3 linked regions of the Caenorhabditis elegans genome follow. The protein of the gene in region 2 purifies or fractionates together with the protein of the main gene of each other region. This does not show direct contact. Each region holds a gene or a part of one and is shown on either strand. Other genes may lie near its edges. The genes, in order: K08D9.4, svh-1 and htp-1.

Region 1 (3,756 bases), on a different chromosome or scaffold from region 2:
TACAGGGGTGGTTGGCAAACTATTTTTTCCGGCAAATCGGCAAATTGCCGGAATCGAAGCTGCCGGCAATATACCGCAATGAAATTTCCGGCAAATCGGCAAACCGGCAAATCACCCAAATTGTCGTTTTGTACAGTTTTTTTTTTGGAAATTTCAGAATTTCAATTTTAATCGGCAAAATTGTACGCATTCTATGAATGTTCCTACATCTGTTTCGAAAAGTACACAAATTCTATGAAATTATCTGAAGACAACGGGGAAAAAAATTTCAAAAAGGCGCAAATTTAAGTGTTTCGGTTTCATAAATAATTCCCTCTAAACACTTCCCGCAAATTGGTGTTCGGCAAACGGCAAATCGGCAAATAGCCTGAATTGAAAATATCCGGCAAATCGACAAACCGGCAAGTTGCCGGAATTGAAAATATCAGGAAAACCGGCAGTTTGCCGATTTGCCGAGTTTGTCGACAAAATTTGCCAAAATTGCCAAATGGCAATTGCCGCCCACCTATTGCCGGTTCAGTATTTTAATGAAACACTTCAAAATTTTAACATTTTTCAACATTTTCAGTCAAATTTTTGGTGAAAAAAATTCGAGAATCGCTGGTTTAAACCCTCACCAATAATTAAAAAATATTTGAAACACCATTGAATCCGCTCGTTGAAATTTTTAAAAGTTGTTTTTTTTTAATTTTTGAAAAATTTTACTACGATTTTTTTTTTCAATTTTAGGAAATTCATGTAGTTGCTTGAATTTTTTCCTTCCTCTTTCTGAATTTTTTTTGTATTTTTTGAAAATTCGGAAATAAAGGCTGTCAAAAAATGTAATTTTACAATAAATTGTATTCTCGCTTTTACATATTGAATTGAATTGAATTTATTACGATTGAAATCATGATAATAAACGTAATAAACATACGATAATAAACATACAGAAAACTAATAAACATACAGAAAATGAATTATCATCTGAAAAGTTGATTAGTTGGTACATGAATGTGCGGGTGTCAGGGAGATGAATAATGGGTAAAAGTATTAAACATGCATAGGACATGAGGTGCCAAAATAAGATTCATTGCGCAAGATTCATTGCGAAATAAGATTCATGTCCGAAGTTGACTTTTTTGGAATTATCGTCCTTTATTACATATATTGGTAGTTTATCTCATTTACTTTCGTTGATATAAGGTATATTTAAAGCCGATAGGTAACCAATTTCGATAATTTTTGGTTCCATATCGGCTAATATAACATACATAACATACATAACATGTGATATAACATACATATCTGAAAAGTCCCCTATTTTTGACAAAAAAACAACACCCAAAAATACCAGAAATGTCAAAAACTGCAGCGACCGACATCTTGTGAGTTCGCTTTTCCTGATATACTTCAATTGACTGGTTTAAAAACTCAGCTATCGATGGGCAAATTTTCGGCAAGTTTTCGGCATCAGGCGACCAAATTGCAAATCTTCGCAGTTGGCCAAACGTATAATTTTGTTGAACTCATATTTTAGAGCTTTTTTCAGTTTACAGTGTAATTTTTGCATTTTTCTGAATGCGAATTTTTTTTTCTCAAATTTTCACGTCTTCACACAGTTGCAACTCAATGTCAATTGTTAGACGGTTATTTTTTGATTTTCTTTTGGCCAGAAAAAATTGTCCAAAAAGCTTGTTTTTTTATCAAATGTAAAAAAAAACTCATCTAATAGTAAAGCTAAAATTTTATTCCAGTAGGGTCCAGAGTACCCGATGGGCACACCGGCCACACTCCAACTACACAGCTGACCCGCGCTTCTCTCCTCTTTTTCGTTTGGGTACGCAGTTGACGTCATATCTTCTTTCTTTTTTTACATGCCAGCTTCATGTTGTGCTTTATATTTTGTCTTTTTGATTTTCCAGCAATCGTTGTATTTTTTACGTTTCTAGTACAAAAATGGAGAAGGTCAGATTTTTTTTTCTAAACACAAATTTGATTAAATTTGATAATATCTCGTGAATAAAAATGTTTCAAATTGGTGATTTATGATACAAATTCTTTCAAGAAAATCAATAATGATTATGTCAAAAGGAGCATTTTCCACGCTACCCGCCACCGAGCCGAAGTTGTATTCAAAGTTGGTGCAGTTCCAAACCAAAAGGAGAAGATTGGTAGATTTAAATGCAGTTTATGAGGTAGGTTGACACTGAAATACTGATTTCTCAATTTAAAAGTCAGTTTTTCAGGACTCATTATCATCTGGCTCCCCATTGGGTACTGTGATTGGATTCCATGGAACTCCAGGGTCTCACAGGGATTTCAAGTATGTCAGGCAGCGATTGGAGCACATGAATATTAGATTTATTGGTATTAACTACCCAGGATTCAAGCAAACTCCAGGTAGTTTCAGTTAATTAATAAAAAACCATCAAATAATTAAAAATAAATTTCAGCGTACCCAGGTCAACACTTCGGAAACTGGGAACGAAATAGTTACTCAGAAGCTCTGTTAAACGAGCTAGATGTGCCGGGAAAAGTGATCATAATGGGGCATAGCAGAGGATGTGAGAATGCACTGATAACAGCAGCTAATCGGAAACCTCATGGACTAGTGATGGCTAATCCAACAGGGTTGAGGATTAATAAAGGGTCTCGTCCGAAGGGAAAGTTGGAGTCGCTGATTTATTTACATAAGAAATTGCCGAAAAAGATTGGAGATGCCATTTTGTATAATTGTGAGTATAAGCAAAATGAGAAATATGCCATAGGCCACTACCAAAAAATGTTTCAATGTGGTGTTTTACTACTGTTGAGGCTCGTCAAAATGCTTGAAAGTTGGATTTTTTCATAAACTTTTTCATTTTGGGAGCGTTTTTGATTAAAAAAAAAGCAAAAATCTGAAAAGTTTTCTGGATGTTGCCTACCCCTAGAGCAATTTTACGAGCTTCAGAACAATTGGAAAAATGTCCTGTAAAAATAAAATTTGAGATCGGAAATTTTCTAGTTCAAAACGCAGCAAAATTATTGGTAGTGGCTTATTTAAAGTGTAGTTTTGGCAGTTTAGGAATACGTATTTTCGTTAGACCTAAGTTTTTAAAAGTGGTGTACCGAAATCTGAGACTTTACTTTTTTAGATCCAAAATGACCCAAAACTACCAAATTTCGTAATGAGATGTTCTGAAAATTTTTCAAATAAAAGTTATGTCGGCTCAATGTTTTAGAAAAAACCCGTTTTTGAGAAACTTTCAAAACATCTCATTATGAAAGTCGATGGTTTTGGGTCATTTTGGGTCTAAATAAGCAAAGTCTCAAATTTCGGTACTCCACCTTTAAAGGATGTTCGAAATTTTCAGGGATACTTCAGATCTTATAAATTATTTCAATTTCCAGTAATGAAATTGGTTGGATTCAAAATTCATGATGGTGAAGAAGCCGTGGCGGTTATTCGAGCAATTATGAACTGTGACCTGGAAAAGCAACTGGAATACATTCTGAAATTAAATGAACTGCCCACAAAGACTATGATCACTTTTGGCGGAAGTGATCATTTAATTGAAAAGGAAATTGTTTTTGAAGCACTCAAAAAGTATCAGGGACTCGCGCATTTTGTAAGTTTTGTGATAGAAAAACTTGAAAAATTGGAAGGAATTTCAGAATTTCAAAGCGAATATCACAGAATCCGAAAAGCAGAAAATAATGGAAAGTTTCAAAAATCAAAAAGGAACATCTGTATTTATTGCAAAGGATAATCATTTTCAAAATAAGAAGCGGGCG
Region 2 (3,756 bases):
GTTATCACATGATATTGAACCAATTGGGCAACTGTCACCAGATTCAATTGGGACGACATCATTAAAACTTTCTGGACATGGTGGAATGTAACATTGGGATAATTCATTTGGTTTCGTATAACAAACTGGCGTCGCTGATTTTCTGAAAAATTATTATCAAAAAACCTGTTCACTTTATCGAAATGATCTTACTTTCCATCAGCGTCATTCACAAATCTACAAAAATTGTGATTCAAAATCTCTAAATCCCTTTCTCTTCGAAATAATACTGTTGGGTCATTCCACATAAGACACATTTTCCCATCAGATGTTCTGTTTGCAGTTCCAGAATATTCTTTGTCCCTCGCAATACATTCTCTTCCAGATTCACAAAAAACGTATGCTTCAGAATCACAGTCAATTGCCACGAGATTGCCTGCTTGTAAAGCTAAACAACGTCCAGTTCCCGTTACTTCTTGCTGAAAAACCAAAATCGTACTAGGAGAGCATTCAAAATAAATTTTTTTATAATCGGTTTGTACGTTTTACAGAAATCTATTTTTCCTTGAAGTTAAACAATTTTAAAGTCGCAACCCAAGGTATTTTTAAAATAAAGCAACTCACTTCTACTGTATCTCCATTCCCCCATTTCCATGTTGCTCCCTGTCGGAGTCCGGAAGTCAAAAATAGTCGTGTATCAGCTGGAAGAGTTTTCGAGATTACACATTTTTCGGGAGAGGTCACTCTCTCAGTGAAAAGTCAACAGACAGTGTAAGGAAGTGCCACGTCGCAATTACTCACCTTGTTGTCCCAACCGATAAACACCCCAAAAAATCAGTTGAGTAAATAAAAACCAAGGCAATTTTGAAAAGGGCAGCATTACTTACCAAACGTTGGCAAAATTGTGTCTCGAATTGATTCAATCTCTGTTGGTTTTAAAGAAGATATCAATGTAGCTGGATTACAATAATAATTTGCTTCAGAGTATCCTTGAACAGGGACAGTTGAAATTGAAAGACATTTGCTTCCAATTTGAAGAGTTCCAGAAGCACATACTGAAATAATTACAAAGCTTTAGAAATTGTGGGTTTTTATTCAAAAATGCAATTCATAATCTTCTGAAATAGAGACTTACAACTAGGTGAACAAAACACTTTGACGCCAGTTTTGCAAAAAGATGACAAAAAAGTGAAGCAAACGGATGTGGTACAACCAACTGAATATGTATACTGTTGAAGTGAAACTGTGGAATAAGATAAAAATGTAGAGGAAATTGATGCACACGCTTGTTCTCCGTATTTTTGATGAAATGATTTAGAGCATAATGGGAAGAAGAGACCTGATTGACTACGAACTTCTAAGAGATCTTCGAAAATTCTGGAAAAATTGATTATGTTTTTGAATCAATACTTTTAATATTAAACGGTGGATTAAAGCAAGTGGAAAAATTGTTGAAAACCACCGAGTATCATAGTTTAGTTTTTGAGTCAATGAAAAAAATATTTAAATAAGGACATATTATTTGCCAACACTTTTTATTAAAAACTCACTTTAATTCTATACATTTAGCACATTGAAAAATAAAAATAAAAAAGATTCCAAAAAATAGTATTGTTCTCATAGTAACTATGACGATATACATTGAAACATTTCCGTCTTCTTTTTACTTTTCTCCTCAACTAATTCTTGTTTCAAATCTCGTTTTGGTGTCAATTAGGCAATAATATATTATGGAATATACAGAGGGAAAAGTGTATCTCGATTGCTAATTTGAAGTGAATAAGGACTGTGAGAGTGAACGAGAAACAGACAAAAAATGATCAGTGCGCGAAGAAAAGTTCTTGGTAAAGAGGGCGGGACTTTGGAGAATGGAAAAAAGATGGAGTTTCGATTGGGATTGTTGTTTTTGGGAATTTGAAGCAATTTGCAGGAGCTGATGAAAAATTCTAAAACTTGCTAATTTGGCGTAGTTATTTTTGGGCAGTGTAATGAATTTTTCCGGAAACTTAACCTATAGGTTCTATAGACGACGATATTTCTATATAGATAAATGCTCCAGATCAAGCATGCTCCGTTGGACATCCTTTTCATGGAATTTAAATTTTGACTTTGTGTAATCGCAAATTTTAACTTCATTTTTTCGATTATGACGCGTCGTTACCAGGTGATTTTTTTGATTAAAAAATTTTCTCAAAACTTATCACTTTAAATTAAAATTGAAGTTTCTGAAACAATATAAGATTTTTTTCTTAAGAGGGCAGGCTTGTAAGTTAGCGTCTATGAATTTAGTGAAGTTTACACTGTCTTCAAGAAAACCCGCTTTCTACCTTTCCCACTTCCTCGTAGATCTCACTATTATATTCTACATTCGCATGGTTTTTATTGATTAGGTAAGGACACTTGAGAGTTGGTTCGATATATTAAAATAATTTTTGAAAATCTTAAATTTCAGTACTATTTTTCTTCAAAGATCGTACTCCTGAAATCATAATTGAAATTTCATGCAATAAGTAGGCCTGAAATTTTAATTTTCCGACTACCGTAACCTTAAAGGCGCATGCAATTTTTCCAAAACGTTGTCTCGTCACGCGCATTCTTCTGAATCTGTTCTTTTGTTTTTTTTAAGTTGCAATTGATAAAAAACGATGTTTTAAAGTTTTTCCGTTCCTCTAAATGCTCATTTAATAGTTTTATAATATGTATTCCAATTATGTAGAGTTTTTCATATATTCTATAATTTCAAGAAATTCTATAAATTTACCTCTAAATCGCTTTGAACCTTAAAATTAAAAAATCGATAGTTTTTGGCTCATTTTAGTTTTTAGCTAATAAAAAACCAGCCGAATGATATTTTCTTAATTTAAAATCAAATTTAGACTTCAAAGTTTTTTCGCCAATAATGGCCGTGGCCTAGAGTCCACACGAGGAATGTTATCTCTGCGCCTCTTATTACGCAAAACTGGCCAGTCGACTGGTCCACCACCCAGTTCAATCAATTCTTTCACAACACACCGTTTTTCTTTCTTTTTTCCAGCTACCTTATCGTTTAGTCATCCACATCGAATTTGTTTATTTTTTATTTTCCCCTTTTATGTTTCCCTTTTTTCCAGTTTTATCGAATTTTCATTTCCCCCGGTTCACGTAGAAAACAATGAATAAAAATATAATTGGGGTAAATGGACATTTGAAGAAAAAATCAAAATTTAGTATTATTCCTAAAAATTTTAACTCCAAGATCCAGCACGCAATGGTAACTTTTTTATAACTTTTATAACTTCTTTCTCTCTTAAAAGGATCTTCCGAAATTCAATGTTTAACTTTTCAGAATAAAAAAATGGCTACAAAATTTCAACGAGTTCTGGGTAAGTTTTTAATATTAAAATATTATATATTGAGTACTAAAAAATCAATAATTTAGACCAGGCGACAGACAGTACATTGGTTGAGCCAAATTGGGAAGGAATTATATTGTGTACAGATATGATTAGATCCGGAGAAGTTCCGTAAGTTTTTTTTTGTTTAGAGAAATCAATATCTGAAGTGCTTAAAATTATAAATTTCAGTGCAAAACCATCACTCCAAGCAATCAGAAAACGTATGCAACATGAAAATCCGCATGTCGTAAATCACACTCTTCTCGTTTTGGATGCTTGTGTCAAAAATTGTGGGCATAAAGTTCATGCAGAAGTGGCGACACGAGAATTTATGGAAGATTTTAAGAATTTAGTTACTGAGAACAAATATGACGAAGTTAGTGTCTCATCTACACATTCACTT
Region 3 (3,561 bases), 2.8 Mb from region 2:
CAGGCGCGACTGCTCTTTCTTAAATGAAAATTGAGATATTTGTTCGCTAGAATGTGATTTTTTAACAGAACATACAAATATATGGTTTTCGTGGCGAGACCAATTTAAAGTAGCACGCGCCTTTAAAACGACTACAATCAACCTGAATACTACATAAAATTGTTTCAGACACTGCAATAAAAAAGCTTTTTCTGATAAATTTTGTGACGTCTGACATTGAAAAGTAGAATAAACTGTGTTTTTTTTCAAAACTTGAAACCAACAATCAACAATCGCCACGTTCCCTTGCAAACCACATAAATTTTAGCAAAGAACCTTGAGAAAAGTTATCGAGGTCAGCATGAATGGTGAATACAAAGAGAATTTCGAGATTTACCGAAAGATACTCGGAGCGGTATCCAGCAGAAGAAGAAAAGAGAGAATCCTTTTTAGATTGGTCAATTGTTGAAAAATTCTGAAATGCACTGGAGTATCTTGAAAATGGAGTCATGGGAAACATGCTATTTAATAACACCAGTCGATTTATTTATGAATGACTGTAATTTGAATAAAAAAAACTAAGGATACAATAATGGAGCAGAAAGGAAACACTCAAGACAATAAAACATTTTACACGATGATATAGAACATGCCAAGTTACAGAATGAAGCTATAATCTATTGAAAGCTAGGAAAAAAATTATTTACAGGAACGAGAATATGGAGACGATCTGGTTTTGCTGCCATCGGCTCCTCTGCGAGTAGTTGGTCTCGTCTGGATAGGCGACATTTGTGCTTTCTCGAGAGACTCCTACAATTTTAAATTTTTTGTTTATATGTAAAAAACTAATAAACTAACAGTTATATCATCCACCGGAGAAGTCTCGTTTCCTCCTTGATCGTTGACAGATTCAGTAGTGGCCTGACTAAGACTTGTGTCACTGTCCTCCGAATTAAACGATTTATACAGCACATTCACTGGATTGAATCCATGCCTATCGGAAACTTTGTCCAGGTGTCGCTTGAGAGTCAACTCTGCTTCGTATGAATCGGACATCAACATGCTCCAGCATTCCATGTTTGCAGCGTGGCATCCTGGGCGCAAGTGACCAATGGTTGCCGATTGGATATCATCAGGAAGTGTGTAAAAAGTGGAAGAATCTTCGAAGCCATCAATGCGGAAATTGGATGGAGCATCGTTTGTGTACTCCAATCGAAAATTAGCCGTGAATTCTTCTGGCAACGGTTCGAGAACTTTTGTGCAGAGGAACTGAACACTGCGAACAATCGTCACCATTTGATCTCGTACGCTGTCGCCACCCTCGTATACAAGTTGAGCAAGCTTTGCGAAGTGAGGATCTTCCTGGCCATTCTTGTCAGTGCTCAGACGAGCAACCACGCCGCCATTCTCAAAATAAATGAACTTCATAGAGAAAACTTCGATGGCTTCAAGATCTCCTTCATTATTTGTGATCACGAGGGAGACTTCTTTCAGAAACCCATCCTTTGTTGCATCCCCAGCATTTCGAAGTAGTTGAGCGATTTGGTTAGACCGTGGGTTTCTGAAGCACAGCGTCATGCATTTCAGCTTTTCTGAAAAAGAACATTTACTATAAAATGTGATAAGAAAAACATTTACCAGTGATGTAATTCTTCGTGAAATATTCTTGTCCAAGAATGTTACGGTTCCTAAGAACAGCCGAAAACGCGACGTAGATTGCTCTGGTCATGAAATTGGATGATCGATCCGGGTCGCTGACAATCCTTGGGAAAAGTTTGGACCATTTCTAAAGATGAAAAAAATTACAATGGCCATAAAACCATGAAAAAAACCTTATCATCAATGGAATCCGCCGATTTGTTGAGCGATTCGTCGTAGATGGTTTCCAAGGGCGCCATCTGCAAAAAAACAGTCTCATTTTTAGGCAAGAGTTTGTAAATGTGAAATATAATATAATTCCTCGAGGAATACTATGCAAAGAAAGAAAAAACCCAATGACAAGCTTAAAATGATACACTAAAAAACGAAAAATTATTTTCGAAACTAGGAAACGATATTTGAATTTTAAAAAACACAGAAAATCGTCAATTTCGAAAGCCTAGGAAAGAATTTTAGGATTTCAAAAATGCAAATAAAATGCTAAATTAAAGGTACATCGGATTGGGTAAGTCCATTGGTCTCGCCACGCAATTACAAAAGCTCAAAACTATTCAAATAATTTTTGACTAAATGCAGCTTTTCCTTTTATTTTAAAGTAAATTTTTCATTCATTTCAAAACTGTCAACAAATTTGATTACTAGAGGTAATTTTAAAAAGTACTATTCTTTAAAAATACGCAAATGCAAGTGAAATTCGCTAACTCGTGGTGAGGCCTAAATTTAGTTTACTGACTGCTCCTTTGATTACTGTAACTTGTTTGCTATTTTTAAAACGGTCTGAATTCTCATTTTTGGACGAGTTTGCCTAAATTTTCTCCTTTCAAGCTCAAAAAACGTTTATCATTGTTTTCAGATGCCAAACTATCGAGGACGTCATCAAACGAGACAGAATTGGAGTTCTAAGCCAAGAGAAGAGCACTCCCCGAGGTATTTGAATAAAAAATGTCATTTTTTCGAGTACTTTCTTTTCAGCAAAGGCGCATACAGGGACAAAATCTGGAGCGGTCCAGTCAGTGAGGTCGCCAGGCAACAAACGTATGAAACTAATTTTTAAATGTTCCTAATTTACTTATTCTTCAGGGTGTACGACTGGGTGACTACAGGTGCTTATTCCCTTGGATCGCCAGACTCGTGGCCATCTTATCCGGACGAAATCATAGTGAGTGCTGTAGTACACCGAAAAAAAGTTAATTTTTCTTGTTTTAGCTGATGAACGAGTCCCGAAATGCTCAGACATCCCGCATGTCGCGTCGGTCGGCTACTCCCGGTCCAGTGAGTTTATTTTCTTCATATTTTCGTTATGAGACAAACCTTGGTTTCAGAGATTGTCACAAGATAGAAGGACAAGAACTACAGCACCCGCCGTTGCGCCGATTCCGTTTCAGAGGGCACAGCCTCGAGTAGAAGTGGAGAGACAAAGAATCGACGAGCCTGTCGCACAGGACCTGATTATCGATGATGGGGTACCAGAAAGTTTCATTGAACATTAGCTGTAATGTATTTTTGTAGAACGGTACCAACAATTCGAACGATTCGAGTATTTGTGGCTTTGTGGAGGAATCCGAGGAACTCGTATATCCACAGTGAGTATCTAAATCAATTAATTAACTGAAATTTATCATTCCAGGTGGGTTTACTATCTGTACCCATTGATTCCTACCGCGCCTAACTGCAACAACGAGAAGTCGTACAAAGAAGGTGGCAATTGGTACAACTCTCCATGAATGATCTCCCTCTCCAGCTTCTCTCAATCTGTCATATTTCTTATGCCTGAGTTGCTCCTCATTTTAAGAATGTATCATTCTCATATTATCTGTCATATTCTCACTCCCATCATGCCCGTAATCAAACCCCCGTCATTCATTTTTCTCTGTACCGGTTAAGAAGTTCTAACATTGTATTTTCCATGATTCTAAGTCAGGA

The links.
Region 1: the proteins of svh-1 (region 2) and K08D9.4 fractionate together in Caenorhabditis elegans (co-fractionation; one large-scale study listed by BioGRID). This does not show direct contact.
Region 3: the proteins of svh-1 (region 2) and htp-1 fractionate together in Caenorhabditis elegans (co-fractionation; one large-scale study listed by BioGRID). This does not show direct contact.

The regions. Positions count from the first base shown.
Region 1 is NC_003283.11:3,198,715-3,202,470, reverse strand, and holds the start of K08D9.4 (AB hydrolase-1 domain-containing protein), read left to right. Parts: upstream 1-2,047; 5' UTR 2,048-2,057; coding exon 2,058-2,177; intron 2,178-2,228; coding exon 2,229-2,382; intron 2,383-2,435; coding exon 2,436-2,717; intron 2,718-2,810; exon of another isoform or gene 2,811-2,831; intron 2,832-3,372; coding exon 3,373-3,590; intron 3,591-3,636; coding exon 3,637-3,756.
Region 2 is NC_003282.8:8,204,614-8,208,369, reverse strand, and holds the start of svh-1 (Serine protease svh-1), read right to left. Parts: upstream 1,757-3,756; 5' UTR 1,622-1,756; coding exon 1,530-1,621; intron 1,357-1,529; coding exon 1,115-1,356; intron 1,035-1,114; coding exon 867-1,034; intron 681-866; coding exon 604-680; intron 459-603; coding exon 193-458; intron 143-192; coding exon 1-142. Other genes in the region: hgrs-1 (Hepatocyte growth factor-regulated tyrosine kinase substrate), read left to right, coding at 3,314-3,341, 3,398-3,482, 3,543-3,729.
Region 3 is NC_003282.8:5,389,681-5,393,241, forward strand, and holds htp-1 (HORMA domain-containing protein), read right to left. Parts: upstream 1,878-3,561; coding exon 1,812-1,877; intron 1,766-1,811; coding exon 1,618-1,765; intron 1,572-1,617; coding exon 838-1,571; intron 790-837; coding exon 679-789; 3' UTR 509-678; downstream 1-508. Other genes in the region: ZK616.5 (uncharacterized protein), read left to right, coding at 2,492-2,565, 2,611-2,673, 2,719-2,797, 2,845-2,910, 2,961-3,101, 3,148-3,221, 3,266-3,362.